Linked DNA regions of Arabidopsis thaliana. The protein of the gene in region 1 interacts with the protein of each later gene in a biochemical or structural test. Each region holds a gene or a part of one and is shown in the gene's direction. Other genes may lie near its edges.

Region 1 (7,397 bases):
AGAACGCATAGTTAGCTAACCCGTCAGTAAGGCGGTTAGCCTCTCTATACACATGAGAAATACGGACTATCCAGTCCTTCGAAAAAAAGCCGTGGCACAACCGTACCAAGAAAGACAAAGGGTGTCGCTCGCTAACCCCAGTCTTGAGAAAGCCCACCACCAATGTCGAGTCTACTTCCAACTCCACTCTCGTCACCTTCTTCTCCCAAGCGAAGTACATGCCGTAATAGACACCCCATAACTCCGCCACCGGAGCCGTACAACGACCAATGTTAAGAGCGAAACCCCCACACCACTCTCCCGCACTGTTTCTTAGCACTCCTCCCGCTGTAGCCAGACCCGGATTACCCCGTGATGCCCCACCAGTATTGAGCTTCAGCCACCCATCGTTAGGCACACCCCAACCAACCATTACTTCCACCCTACCGCCTATCCCCGAACCTCCTTTATGTTTACTAGTAGCGGTAGTTACTTCCTTAGCCGCATCCTTAATAAACCTCGTTCTATCCCGACACTTACCACGTTTGTCAAACACGTTATCACAGCGCCACTTCCAAGCCCACCAAATAGCCATCGTGAAAACCGTAGACCATACACTCTCATATATTTCCCGGTCATCACCTAGGTTATCATGCTACCATTCGATCAACGACTGTGCAAAGAAGGATCTCCTCCGCCGCTGGGGAATGATACGATCCCAAAGTCCTGCCATTGCGGGACAATCCCGAAGGATGTGAATAATCGTCTCACTTCCCCCCTTACAGACTTGGCAAACATCTGTTATACACAGATGCCTTCTAAATCGCTCAGCATCCGTCATTAGAGCTTGATTCCCGACTAACCAAAGAAACATTTTTGCTCTCTCCGTCGCCACCACCCCCCATATGCGACTAAAAAGAACAACACAACATATACAACAAAACATAGAATATCAACATTAAAGAATATAAAAAATATCAACAAAACATATACAACTCGCAGTGTATTATATATTTAAAATCAAATAAAATAATATCATAAATTTATTAATCATCTTTACAAAAAAAGATTTTTAGTTTAACTAAAATATAAACTTACCCGCGGTATACCGCGGGTTAATATCTAGTGCAAACATATTTAGTAGGAGTATCATAAAAAATCTCAAACATTATAAATAATACTTAAAAATTCCTTATGATACCATATGAGTATCACCCATATACATGCTATTATTGTGGGTAAAAATAGATAGTTTTGCGCAAGACCTATTAAATTATGAATATTTTGATTATTTGTTCCATAATTATTAAAATTTGAACATTTTTGTTGTTAGCGCAAGATTCAATCCTTGCTTTGGGGAAAAATTAAAGCTATACGTAATTTCACTGATCGTTTTTGGAAAGAAACATGGAAATTAAAAGGTGAGCTTTTTTTTTAGTTGCTGCTTCTCTATTGATGAGTTCCTAGCGTTATGTGGAATCTAGAAACTTTGTGATTTTGTTTATAATCTATGCTTACTCTTTTCTCATGTTTACGCTTCTAGATGATAAACAACGAACACGTTGGAATAAGTCCTACAACATCTTGTTTGGGATGGAGCCAGGAAGTTCTGAGATGAATCTATCTTATATGCCCAACTACAAAGGACTTTGTTGATTTCATGTTTGAAAAGCAAAAGCCTATCCAATTCTTCACTCCAACGGTTAATTTTAACCACATTCGCGGTTCTACTATATATCCTTAATGAAATGTAGATTCTAGGACCTTAAAATTGTTTTTCCTCTGTGGCAGAGAACTTTTTCTACATCGATGCCCATGAAAGTCTCTTGACTTCTTGCCTCCTACTATTTTATGCATCCTAAAGCGAATCTCGATAAGGTTGTAATCTCTATTATATCCATCCTAAACACCGTTTGTGTATTCTCCATGTGTTTGATTCCTTTTGAATGTTTTGGTTCCTAGCTGAAACTCCAATATGAGGGGTTAGAGCATTAGTTATTCAACCTAAAACTCCATTATCTCTGACTCAAAGACCTATCATTGTCTTTAGTGTGACTCCAAATTATGAGGCTTTCTCTCTACCTTGCAAGATCAAACTTGAAAGAAATCTTGATAAAATCCTAACTTCAGGAAAATTGTGTATATACATATGTCGTTTAATCGATACTCTACATGTTTGCTTGTTTAACAACGATATGTGTGTACGTTTTGTGCATACTATTTTCAGCAAATAGTTTTTTTCATAGAGAAATTAAATTTTAGTAAATACACGAATATTATAATTATGATCTCACAAAAAAGAAAAAAAAAACCGAGATCTTCAAATAAATATAAAACTTACTTACATAGACATGCAAAGCCTTCTTGACATGCAAATGGATGTTGTCCATGTTCCTAATAGAGGGGATGAAACCAATCCACAAAATTTATTTTTACTAAAGTGATGAGGACTTATAGCCTTAGAAATATAGTAATTATGAGTATCCAAAACAGAACAGTTGGTCTTCTTAAATAAAAAAAATAAAAAAAATAATTAGATGTTTATAATAATATCTTATTATAACAGTTGGTCCTCTTAATTTTTTTTTAAAAAGAGATAATTAAATGTTTATAATAATATTTGTAAATTAACGATGTCGGCTCACTAGATTTACGATGATTGACGTATTTGTTTGTAAATTTTATGAAATTACGTTCATTAAATTAAATATTTAAATACTAAAGATTAACAGCTAAAGAAATCTTAATGAAATATTGCCATCTTTGGGTTTTAAATTTTCTATTTTTCATATTTCATATCGGATATCCGATTAAAAATGAAATCAGTAAGTATACCAAAATACAAGCGTTATATTTATTGGGCCTATTCGGGCCATTCAATAATTAATTCACCCACGCGCAAATGAGTTAATCCGTAAAATAGGCTTTAAAGCCCATTCAATAAACCCGTTTCGCAGGAAAAAAGCCCATTAAATAAGTAATTTCCAGAAATACCCTTTTCCAATCATTGAAAATTCAAACTTGACCTAAAAAGTATCTGAAAAGCCAGCGCCTTTTTTCGTTACGAATCCGTGTTTTTGCCAGCTTTCAATCCAACGGCTCTCCTTTCTTCTCACAATCCGTAATCATCGCTCCCCACTCATTCATTATAAACAAAAACAAAAATCCACGGAGCCGATAAAAAAAAAAAAAAACTCTCTCAGATCTGAGAATCATTTCTTCTTCTTCTTCCTCACTTTGTTCATCATCTTCTTCTCCGATCTAAACAACAATGGCGACACCAGGAGCTTCCTCAGCAAGAGATGAATTCGTATACATGGCGAAACTCGCCGAACAAGCAGAGCGTTACGAAGAAATGGTTGAATTCATGGAGAAAGTCGCGAAAGCTGTTGACAAAGACGAACTCACCGTCGAAGAACGTAATCTCCTCTCCGTCGCTTACAAAAACGTCATCGGAGCTCGTCGTGCTTCGTGGAGAATCATTTCATCGATCGAACAAAAGGAGGAGTCTCGCGGTAACGATGACCACGTTTCGTTGATCCGTGACTACAGAAGCAAAATCGAAACGGAACTTTCTGATATCTGTGACGGAATCCTTAAGCTTCTCGATACGATTCTCGTTCCCGCTGCTGCTTCTGGAGATTCGAAGGTGTTTTATCTGAAGATGAAAGGTGATTATCATAGGTACTTGGCTGAGTTCAAATCTGGTCAAGAGAGGAAAGATGCTGCTGAACATACTCTTACTGCTTACAAAGCTGCTCAGGTTTTTGATCTCTTTCTCCGATCTGTGATTTGATTTTTGTGTGATTTAGGTTTTTGAAATTTTGGTTTGTTGTGTAGGATATTGCTAATTCTGAATTGGCTCCAACGCATCCGATTCGTCTTGGTCTTGCGTTGAACTTCTCTGTGTTTTACTATGAGATTCTCAATTCTCCAGATCGTGCTTGTAATCTCGCTAAGCAGGTTTGGATCTCATCTGAGGGATGTTTTATATGATTATGTATTGTTGGTTTATGTGTGTGTTTGATGAGTTTTTGTTTATGGATTTATTTAGGCGTTTGATGAAGCAATTGCTGAATTGGATACTCTTGGTGAAGAGTCATACAAGGACAGTACTTTGATTATGCAGCTTCTTCGTGATAACCTCACTCTCTGGACTTCTGATATGCAGGTATTATATATTGGCTCCTGTATGATTGATTTTGTTGCTTGAATTGTGAAACAATGAGCCTAATTAAGTCATTGACAAAAGTTAGATTTGGATATCAAGTTTATTTGATGCATTCTTCTGGTCTAATTCTGATTTTGGTGATTGTCAACTGTGTTAGTAATCTTGCTAGGTATTATATTTTGGCCTTATAAGCTTGTTTTTGTTGCTTGATGAACGAATAACGTTTTTGTTTCTTGATCTCTGAAACTTTTAGCCTATAATTAAACCATTAAGAAAGACTTGATTTGTAATAAAACAGTTTAGTTTACATTTGGATGCATTCTGCTGGCTCTGATTCTGATTTTAGTGATTGTCAAATGTATTTAAGCCTGTTTTGTTGCTTGATTTCTGAAACCATGAGCCTTGTTAAGCCATTGCGGAAGTCTAGATATGGAAAACAAACAGTTTAGTTTACATTTTGATGCATTCTCTTGGTCATATTCTGATTTTAGTGATTGTCAAATGTGTTTAATCCTGTTTTGTTGCTTAATTTATGAAATCATAAGCCTTGTTAAGCCATTGAGGAAGACACGAATTGAATATCAAGTGGTTTAGTTTACATTTTGATGCATTCCTCCTTATGCCTTGCTTAAGCCTGTTTGTGATTTCTGAAACCATGAGCAAGATATATGCCATTGAGGGAGACTAGATTTGGAAATCAAGTTGTTGCTTAGTTTACATTTTGATACATTCCTCAATCCTTCTTTCTTGTGGTCTGATTCTGATTATGATGATCTTGTCAAATGTTTTTTTCAATCAGGACGATGTTGCTGATGACATCAAAGAAGCAGCACCAGCAGCAGCAAAACCCGCTGACGAGCAACAATCCTAAGTCGTCTTACCGCAACTTTGTTGTCATTTCAGTATCTAAAACCTCTCCATTAATATGTTTTTCTCTTGGAGGTGTTTCTCTGTTGGTTTCTTATTTCCTTTTATCCCCAAGCTCTCTAAGGCAGTCTAATTCTTGTCCTTTTTTGCTGCTTTTCTCAACCGTGGATACGAAAACTCGATTCCTATTATTTTTCGTTTATCTGTTTCCATTTTATCGTGATTTGACTCCTATCTTCTGTGTCTTTGTTTGTAATGGATTCAACTTCTCTTTTTGTTTCAATGTCAAGAAAAATCTTTGGTTTATTTCGAAGTTTCCTCTCATGTTATACATATAGTGTACATAGCTTATAGCTTGAGTTTGCTCAGATTGATCCGTTCGACGGGATATGTATATGCCTCGAAGTTGATTTGCTGTCCTAAGCAACTTAGCTTTGTGAATGCAGTTATGAGATCAACCTACAAACATATTCATAAACCAAAACATGAGCTTGAGTTTGAGGTAGATGAATATATGATTAAGGCAAATCGAGTGAAAACGAACCTCGTAATCAGTCTGAGATACGGTTTCACGGCTTCTTTGATACTTCTGAACCCATGGAGCAACTTGAGGGTCAGTAGCTAAGAGCTGTTCTGTTGCAGCTTGATCAGGACCCAAGAATGCAGACATTACAGCTAGCTACAAATTCCTCATACAGGTTAGTTACTTCGAGTGATCCTAGTAGATAATTCTCTGTTTAAACCGAAAATCATGTACCTGACGAGGACCCAATCCAACAGCAATGAACTTATCTTTCATCTCTTGCACAGTTGCTTTCCCCCATTGTGGGACTCTGCCTTCTGGATCAGCCTCTGTTGCATCACTCCTTCCAAAATTTCTATCAAACAATCCCCACTAACAGATTCACAACGGTTCAGTATCGATTTGAACAAAACGCCGCGACTCAAAAGCGAATACGATAGCATTGTTTACCTGACCAGCTGAACCATATGCTGTGTAAAGTAAGTTCCCCTTCTCTTCATTTCCACCACATTTTCGGATAGCCGATGCTAAATATGTAAACTTGACCGCTGATTGTCCTACAGAAACCAACCCAAGAAAGATTTCAGTTATCCACAAATACAATAATGCTACTCTTCATGAACAAGTTTTGGTATATACTATAACATTACCTGCTAATTGAATGATATCTGCATATGAAATAGGACCTCCCTTCGAGATAGAGTCAATCTCCTTCTTCACTTCCTCTATCAAACTCAACCCATCAGAAAGTCCCTCATTCTCTGCTCTACTTAGCTCAGAGCTTCACAAAAAGAAAAGAATGCATTAGACATCATCTAAAGATTACTCTTATAATGTTCTTACATCATATAACTACCTGAACCGTATGGATCCATTGGCTCCCCCGGATTTAGTAGCCTAGACAAAAAGCTAGTATCATTAAAGGGTCACCAGAGAGATGGACAAGAGCATTATATGAAGCCTGACCTTATCATAAGTCATAGCATCATTGAGAGCTAGTTTGAGTAAGGAAGGTACAAGCTCCGGTTTAGCCTTAATGGTGGTTGAAAGCAAAATCTTGATCTTTGCTGCATAATATAAAAGTGAAACCTTTAGTGCCAATAACAACCTAATGGTACCACACTAGTGTTCTTGTTTCAGATACTCACATTGAAACTCGGATCGTTGTCTACGTTGATTCAAGTCAGCAGCTTTTGCATCACCCACATTGTTAATGAAACCGTTGCCTATTAATTCCTAACAAGAGAGATCATCACTGCCAAGAACTCATCAAATGTGACATAGAGAGGACAACTTCAAGAAGATGTAGCCACAGACTATACATTACAATATCTCATTTGTACCAATGTGTATGTAATTTTTGATCGAGTCAAGTGTTAAGGTACCATTCCGACTGCAGTGCCGGCGAGTTTGAGAACATCACGGCGGTGGAAAGCTAAACTTTCACCGGAAACTTGAGGTTCAATCTTGGAACATCGTATAACAGCCTGATCAGAAGAAGAATTGTTAGCAGAAGAAATGTAAAATGGGTTAGAAGTAAAGAATGTAACAATGGTTGAAACTCACAGAGCGATGAGAAGAAGAAGAGAGTGTAGTGAGATGTTGATGATTGGTTGTGTTGGTGAAGGAAGGAACAGTGGAGAGGAAGGACACTCCTCCCATTTCTGGTTTGTGATGAGACAGAGAAGAGAGAAGAAAGGAGAAAGAGTTGTCTGAAGAAAATGGAGAGTGTGTTTTGGTTTTGTGAAGGATACACTTTTGTGGATTCTCTGTTATCCAAATCTCCCAATCATATGGGTCCATTTGGTTTCATCATATAACTCCTTTTTTTTTTTTCAATAAGAGTTTTTTAAAAGG
Region 2 (6,822 bases), on another chromosome or scaffold:
ACTCGATAGAATTTTAACTTTTTGGACCATTGATTGATGTGTATTGTTTGTTCTCTATGTAGGTTGCGCGCTGGGAGACTTGGCTGGTCCGATGGTTGTTTCGGTTTGCCTGCAGAAGACTCTTCAAGCTGATTATTAAGTTCTTGTGTGGAAATTGAATTCTTCTACTTGAATCTTGATGATCCAAATGAAATCATAGAGCTTGTTTTTTGTTTCTGAAATTTCTTATTGTCTTCACTGAACCTTAAAAACAATGATCAATAGATTTCTCAAAATGTACCTACTTTTGACAACAGCACAATAAGTCAGGTATTTATTTTCCTCGGATTTTAGTTTTGTATCTGCGATTTTTCTTCTCTTTTTACTTTTGTAAGTAGGGATTTTGTGAACTATCCTCTTATGCAAACGTGAAAAAGAATGCTTGGAAGAAAAATTAGTATTTGAAGTATGGTTCAGCTAAACCAAAAGCCTAGCTTGGGATTCGAGATGATTGGGAATGGAGAACTAGTTTGTTTGGTTTAGGGTTCGGGTCAACTAAAGATTCCCATACCGGATTTAATTTGAACTTCTTTTGGACTGCAATTAGGCTTATTTTGGGTTCGGGGTCAGTTTTGGATTTGGCCATTTGGGTTAGTTTATAGGCCTCAAGTCTCCAAGTCCAACTAGACAAAACTCGAAAATCGATATTGTGAAGTGCTCTTTTATCTTTCACTCTTCACACAAGCATGCATTAAGTGAATCAACCAAGCATGCATTAGTTTTGGTGTCTAAATCTCTCAGGCCCTTATTAATACCTACCTATGATCTTTCTCAAATCTTTGGTACAATCTCACTCATTTTTTTATCAACCGAATATACCTAAAAATCTCTAAAAACGATGATCATTGCTGATTTGCTAAAAGAGGGAGAGATATTTTCAATTGTTAATGTATAGACTAGAGACTTTAAAGGGAGACACATCATCACTACCACCACACAAACACGAAACTCATATGAATGGCTCCAAATAAGAAGATTGTCTTAGTTAGAAAATGGACTTCCCTCTTTAATATAAATATTAAATACTTTCACCTACTTTCTCCTTGCACACCAAGCCACAACTGTTTTATACTTGTCCCCACCTAAGATAATGAATGCATGAATGCATGGTTTTCAACACCCTGAAAAAGTAAACCGGTAAAATTCATCGTGGGAGTCAAAATTGGTAGAGTTTAACATGCTTATTATTAATTTGCACACCCATTTCTGTTGTATGAGTGTAATCCACACACAAAAAAATTGTTTAGCAAATTGTTACACAAAACAGAGCTTAGGTAATAAGAAAATTAGCAAATTGTTACAGAAAATATATTCTCCTAAGTTGTCTAGCCTCTAGTATCCCGATACCATACAATCCACAAAACAGAGGATGGAATAAAGTGAGAGAGGAAGGAACAGAACAATACATAAGAAATAAAAAGCAACATAAAAGATTGGGTGTTCTTGTTAGTTAATTAGAAGAATGTTAAATTGTCATTATAAAATATTTTTTAAAGAATGTTAAATTTCTAGAAAACTTATCTTTGTGGGATGAAGAGAATATTATTTTCTTTTAAAAAAAGTTTTGTATTGTTAAATCTAAACATATACATCAAACTTTAAAAATCAAAGCAAAAAAAGAATATCTCTCCTTTTGCATGCTTTTGACATATTGAATTTAATAGGTAATTTTCTTAATTAAGATGTTAAACTTATGGATTCATGATTTGAACAAAACTGAAAAAAGTATATGGAAGCGTTGGTGAGATTCATACCTATCAAAATGAACAAAAGGATCACCAACCGAATAGTAAAACCAACTACTGTATTTATCATGGCCATTTTTCTTCTTCTTTCTTAATTTCTCTCTTTATTAAAAATTTGTTAATTATATCATAATCTTAACTGTTTTATATAAAAAGTGTTTTTTCCTAGAATATACAAGGTATTCCGCAAAAAATGCCAATAAAAATGGTTTTAAATTAAAAAGAAAGACCAAAACTCATATAACCTCAAAAACATAGTATGTTATTTTTAGTTAATATAAATATTAAATACTTTCACCTACTTTCTCCTTGCACACCACAACTGTTTTATACTTGTCCCCACCTAAGATAATGAGTGCATGAATGCATGAACCATCATTGGCCGATGCGTTTCCTGGTGCATGTAGCTCACAGCCGTCGTTCTCACATTTTGTTATTTATGATCATACTTTTTTTTCATTAAAAGGAAAAAGGTTTACTGGTTTGGTTTAGAACAAGAACTACTCGTTATAATCATACTTTTGTTTAATTAAAAAAACAAAAACAAATAATTTCTAGTACATCTTATATTACATACTATAGTTTGATGATAAAAATAAAATTCAAATGACGATTATCATGTCGAAAAGACAAATAATAATTGTCTTACTGACCTACCTGCCTGCCTCTATATATATACTAGTCTTTGGTCGCCTTTACTATAACCAAACATCGAGCTTGCCTTAGAGTTTGTCTCAAGCTTCTCCTTTTTTGGTATTTTGTCTTAAGCTTCCTTGCTTCTCTTTCTTCTTCTTCTCTACTCTTTCTCTCTATTTCAAACCTTCGTTTTCTTTCCTTTTTTGTATAAAATCTTAAAATCAACCAAGACAATGGAAATGAAATTGCTCTTTACATCGGCTTTCACCCAAATGTTCGGCTACTCGAACCATATGGATCAAGCCAGCAACTGCCAAAGCACCCGCAACAAAATTATAAAGATGATGAAGAAAGAAGAATTCCCAAGTGGATTCCAAGTCCCTCTTCACTACCCTAAATACTCCAAGTCTGATTACGAAGTTATGGATGATCTCCGCCTTGACTTGCTCCTCAAACAATATGGATTCTCCTTTGAAGGATCTCTTGAAGACAAGAGGGTTTTTGCAATTGAATCATTTCTCTGGCCTGATCAGCTTTAGATGGTCTATGTTGGTGTTGAATGATCTTATATCGCTCTCCACATGCATATCAATGAGCCTATACTCGAGTGGTTGAATGTTTTTAAAATTATGTCAAATTACCATGTATATCAATCACTTAGTAATGTTTTAGAACTATGTCAAATACTAGTGTGTGTTATATTTCTTTGTGTGTGGGGATGTTTTGAAGTATGCAATTCTTCACATATATATGTATCATATGAGTGCATTAATAACATCTTTGATGTCATGTATAACACTAAAAAAATGTGATTTATCGACTTATAAAAATCTTAACATATTGACATTAACATAAAACATATAGATTATTGTATGATATAGATTAAACATGACGTCATGCTGGATATTTTGGCTTATTGGCTTGTACATTACTTGTGATTATGAGTGTATAATATAAAACTAATTACTAGATTTGCACAAAAAAAAAACAGAAGGATAGAAAACTAACTAGAAAATTAAGACATTACATACATTCTTCTATATGAAAAAAAACATTTAAAAAACAAAACAAAACATTTTTATACTAAGATACTAATGAAAAATCCTATCAAGAAAATGAAGAAGATCATAAAAACAAAATTATCGGATTTGAAGAGAATAAATTTTGACCAAAAAAAAAGAAGATAATTAAAATAAAATAAAAACAAGAATTGGCCAACTGTGAGAACATCATCAATGAAGACCAATTGCGAGATCCGACAACACCGCTTCTTTTGATTTCGATCTTACTTTCCTGGGTATGTCTCAATTCTTCTTCCTCCTTCAGTTCGTGTTCTGTGTCTGATTGATTACTCTCACAAAACTCATCTTTTCATTGTCTAAAGGTCTAATCTTTAGCTATAACTCAAAATCTGTATCTAAGTTCTGACAAGTTTCTGTTACGAAATTCAAATTTTTTGATACATATGTTCATTTCTCAGAACAGGAGATGTCAATTTTGGCGATGGTTTTCGTAACATAAACATGAGATTTGATTGTTCTGTGCAGATCTCATAGTTAATCTGGTTTGAGTCTAGAAATGTCGAGTGATGCAGCTCGTACGCCATTGTTACCCACTGAGAAGATAGATACCATGGCTCAAGATTTCAACCTGAACTCAAGAACTTCTTCTTCAAGAAAACGAAGATTGCGTCGCTCTAGAAGTGCTCCTCGTGGTGATTGTATGTACAATGATGATGTCAAAATCGACGAACCACCTCCTCATCCGAGTAAAATCCCAATGTTCAGTGATCTAAACCCGAATCTCAGGCGAGTGATCATGTTCTTGGCTTTATATCTTACCATTGGTACGCTCTGTTTCTACCTCGTGAGAGACCAGATCTCCGGTCATAAAACCAGTGGTGTGGTAGATGCTCTCTATTTCTGTATAGTAACGATGACAACTGTTGGATACGGTGACCTTGTCCCTAATAGTTCCGCCTCAAGGCTACTTGCTTGTGCCTTCGTCTTCTCGGGAATGGTCCTCGTTGGTCACCTCTTAAGTCGAGCGGCGGATTATCTAGTGGAGAAACAAGAGGCTTTGCTCGTTAGGGCTTTCCATTTGCGTCAAAGCTTTGGTCCAACAGACATTCTCAAGGAGTTGCATACTAACAAGTTGAGATACAAATGCTATGCTACATGCCTTGTCCTTGTAGTCCTCTTCATTGTTGGCACGATTTTCCTTGTAATGGTTGAGAAAATGCCGGTTATCTCAGCTTTCTACTGCGTCTGCTCCACGGTTACAACATTGGGTTATGGAGATAAGAGCTTTAACTCGGAAGCCGGACGCCTTTTTGCTGTGTTTTGGATCTTGACGAGCAGCATATGTTTGGCTCAGTTTTTCCTTTATGTAGCTGAGCTAAATACAGAAAACAAACAGAGGGCGTTGGTGAAATGGGTTTTAACGCGAAGAATCACAAACAATGATCTCGAAGCAGCTGATCTCGATGAAGATGGAGTTGTTGGGTAAGAAAGACATCAGACATATTCTATCTTCTGTTTCCTTCTTCCTCTTCTTATTCTTTTTTTTTTGTCTATTGTGTGTTGCAGAGCTGCAGAGTTTATTGTGTATAAACTGAAAGAAATGGGTAAGATTGATGAGAAAGATATTTCTGGGATAATGGATGAGTTCGAGCAACTTGATTACGATGAATCAGGAACTCTCACGACTTCTGACATCGTTTTAGCTCAGACCACGTCTCAGATTCAAAGGTAAGCCTCATCATCATCATCATCTTGCGAAGACGAATCAGAATCTTTGTTTAGTTATACCTTCACACAACAAAAAGCCGAAGAGAGTGAACAGTTTTTCGAAATTTTGTTTGTTTTTTCCTGTTTGTGTTTGTAATGTAATGCCACACTCTAACTCTTTGATCGTTTCTTGATGCTGAGTGTATAATTTTACATACATCTATACATATGAAGCTCTCTAGTGTTATGCTCCATGACCAAGAATTCATGGATGATTCTCTCAAAGGACAGGGTATGAAGACTGTTTTATTGCTTTAAACTTTTTTGGTATTTTGATTGATACAAAACATTTTCAAAAGATAGCGGTTTCTCGCGTTATGGAAGTCGTCGTTTCTCGAACTGAGATTCATGGCAATGAGGGTCAAGCCAGTCTCTTGAAACACCTTTTCCCATATTAGTTCCTTTCTCTGCACCTGCACCCCCGCCTACAAGCTCTCTTAAGTTAGCCATTTTGTTTTCTCGACCAGAGCCGCTCATTTTCTGATCTGCTTCCTTGAGCATCTGCTTAAACCGCTGCTTGCGGCTCGATGTGTTACTACCACCATCTTGTAGCTGCGAAGGAGGAGCTCCATGTGGTCCTAAGTAGATGTTTTCTTCAGCTTTACTCTACAAAATCATACAATGAGAGATAAAGAGTTAACAACATTTTTTTGAAACTTGTCTTGTACGTAAGAAATCAATCACTAACCTTAGGAGAAGAAGGTTTTGATGTTTCAACTTCTGAATCATTATTATTATTAACCTTGTCTTCTTCAATCTCCAAGCTCGGAATCACAAACCCATCAGTGTCTGCCACCAATCAAATGATCGACTCAAGATTTGTAATTACACAAGAAGATACAGAAATTTGAATGATTGAATCCGATCACATAAACACGAAAGAACCCTAATTTCAATAAAGAAATGCAACTGAATCGATTAAAGCGAAATTACTTACCCCATTCATCATTGTCTTCTACCTTGGGAAGATTCGTCTGCATTACAGATGTATCCATTGAAGACTAACGTTCATGGACACTCTCCGAAGGACCAACAGTTTACAAAAAATAATTTCTCAGCTCTTTGGCTTTTGAATGTGAATTTATGTATCAATTTTACAATAATTCGATTATTTTTCACCTGATTGATTTTTCGCGAAACCCTAAATGTTAGAGCTTGGGAAAAGGGGGAAACAGATAAATAATGATGGTGTTGAGGCGAATCGGATCGGATCCGGATTCGATTGTTTGCGATTGACACGGCGGAGAAGGAGATGTTAGGGATACTTTTGTAATCTACTATCGATGGTCGGTATTCAGCCACGTGTCAGCTACTCATTCGTGAAACTCCTAGACGAAAATGTTGCGTTGTGCTTTGTGAAACAAAACTAGTACTATGTGTTTGGTTTTTTGTTTATATTAGGGAAATTGCACTCTATATACATATAAAATTATAAAATTAAGTATTAGAAAAAACTACTCTCGAATCTTTTCTCTCTATCATGAAAATACCCTTATATCTCTATACCATATTTGCTTTTGACGTTAAATATTTTGTTACCTTTTAATAATAATGTTATCATCTTCCCATAATTATATAATCTTTAAAATCAAATCGTTGGTTCAATAGCTGGT

The links.
Region 2: the proteins of GRF1 (region 1) and KCO1 form a complex in vitro, tested with the Arabidopsis thaliana proteins (one study listed by BioGRID).

The regions. Positions count from the first base shown.
Region 1 is NC_003075.7:5,772,137-5,779,533, forward strand, and holds GRF1 (general regulatory factor 1), read left to right. Parts: upstream 1-3,073; 5' UTR 3,074-3,250; coding exon 3,251-3,742; intron 3,743-3,819; coding exon 3,820-3,942; intron 3,943-4,033; coding exon 4,034-4,150; exon of another isoform or gene 4,151-4,235; coding exon 4,236-4,302; exon of another isoform or gene 4,303-4,508; intron 4,509-4,653; exon of another isoform or gene 4,654-4,863; coding exon 4,864-5,021; 3' UTR 5,022-5,345; downstream 5,346-7,397. Other genes in the region: TL29 (ascorbate peroxidase 4), read right to left, coding at 5,366-5,476, 5,562-5,696, 5,775-5,912, 5,991-6,097, 6,191-6,321, 6,397-6,437, 6,507-6,607, 6,689-6,776 and 2 more. UniProt on the Arabidopsis thaliana protein: Is associated with a DNA binding complex that binds to the G box, a well-characterized cis-acting DNA regulatory element found in plant genes. Involved in the regulation of nutrient metabolism.
Region 2 is NC_003076.8:22,527,720-22,534,541, forward strand, and holds KCO1 (Outward rectifying potassium channel protein), read left to right. Parts: upstream 1-3,638; 5' UTR 3,639-3,717; exon of another isoform or gene 3,718-3,967; 5' UTR 3,968-3,998; coding exon 3,999-4,924; intron 4,925-5,008; coding exon 5,009-5,174; 3' UTR 5,175-5,403; downstream 5,404-6,822. Other genes in the region: AT5G55610 (isopentenyl-diphosphate delta-isomerase), read left to right, coding at 63-139; AT5G55620 (uncharacterized protein), read left to right, coding at 2,654-2,959; AT5G55640 (Na-translocating NADH-quinone reductase subunit A), read right to left, coding at 5,525-5,815, 5,898-5,998, 6,147-6,204. UniProt on the Arabidopsis thaliana protein: Voltage-independent, large conductance and potassium-selective tonoplast ion channel. Regulated by cytoplasmic calcium and pH. Does not mediate slow-vacuolar (SV) ionic currents, but essential to establish VK currents.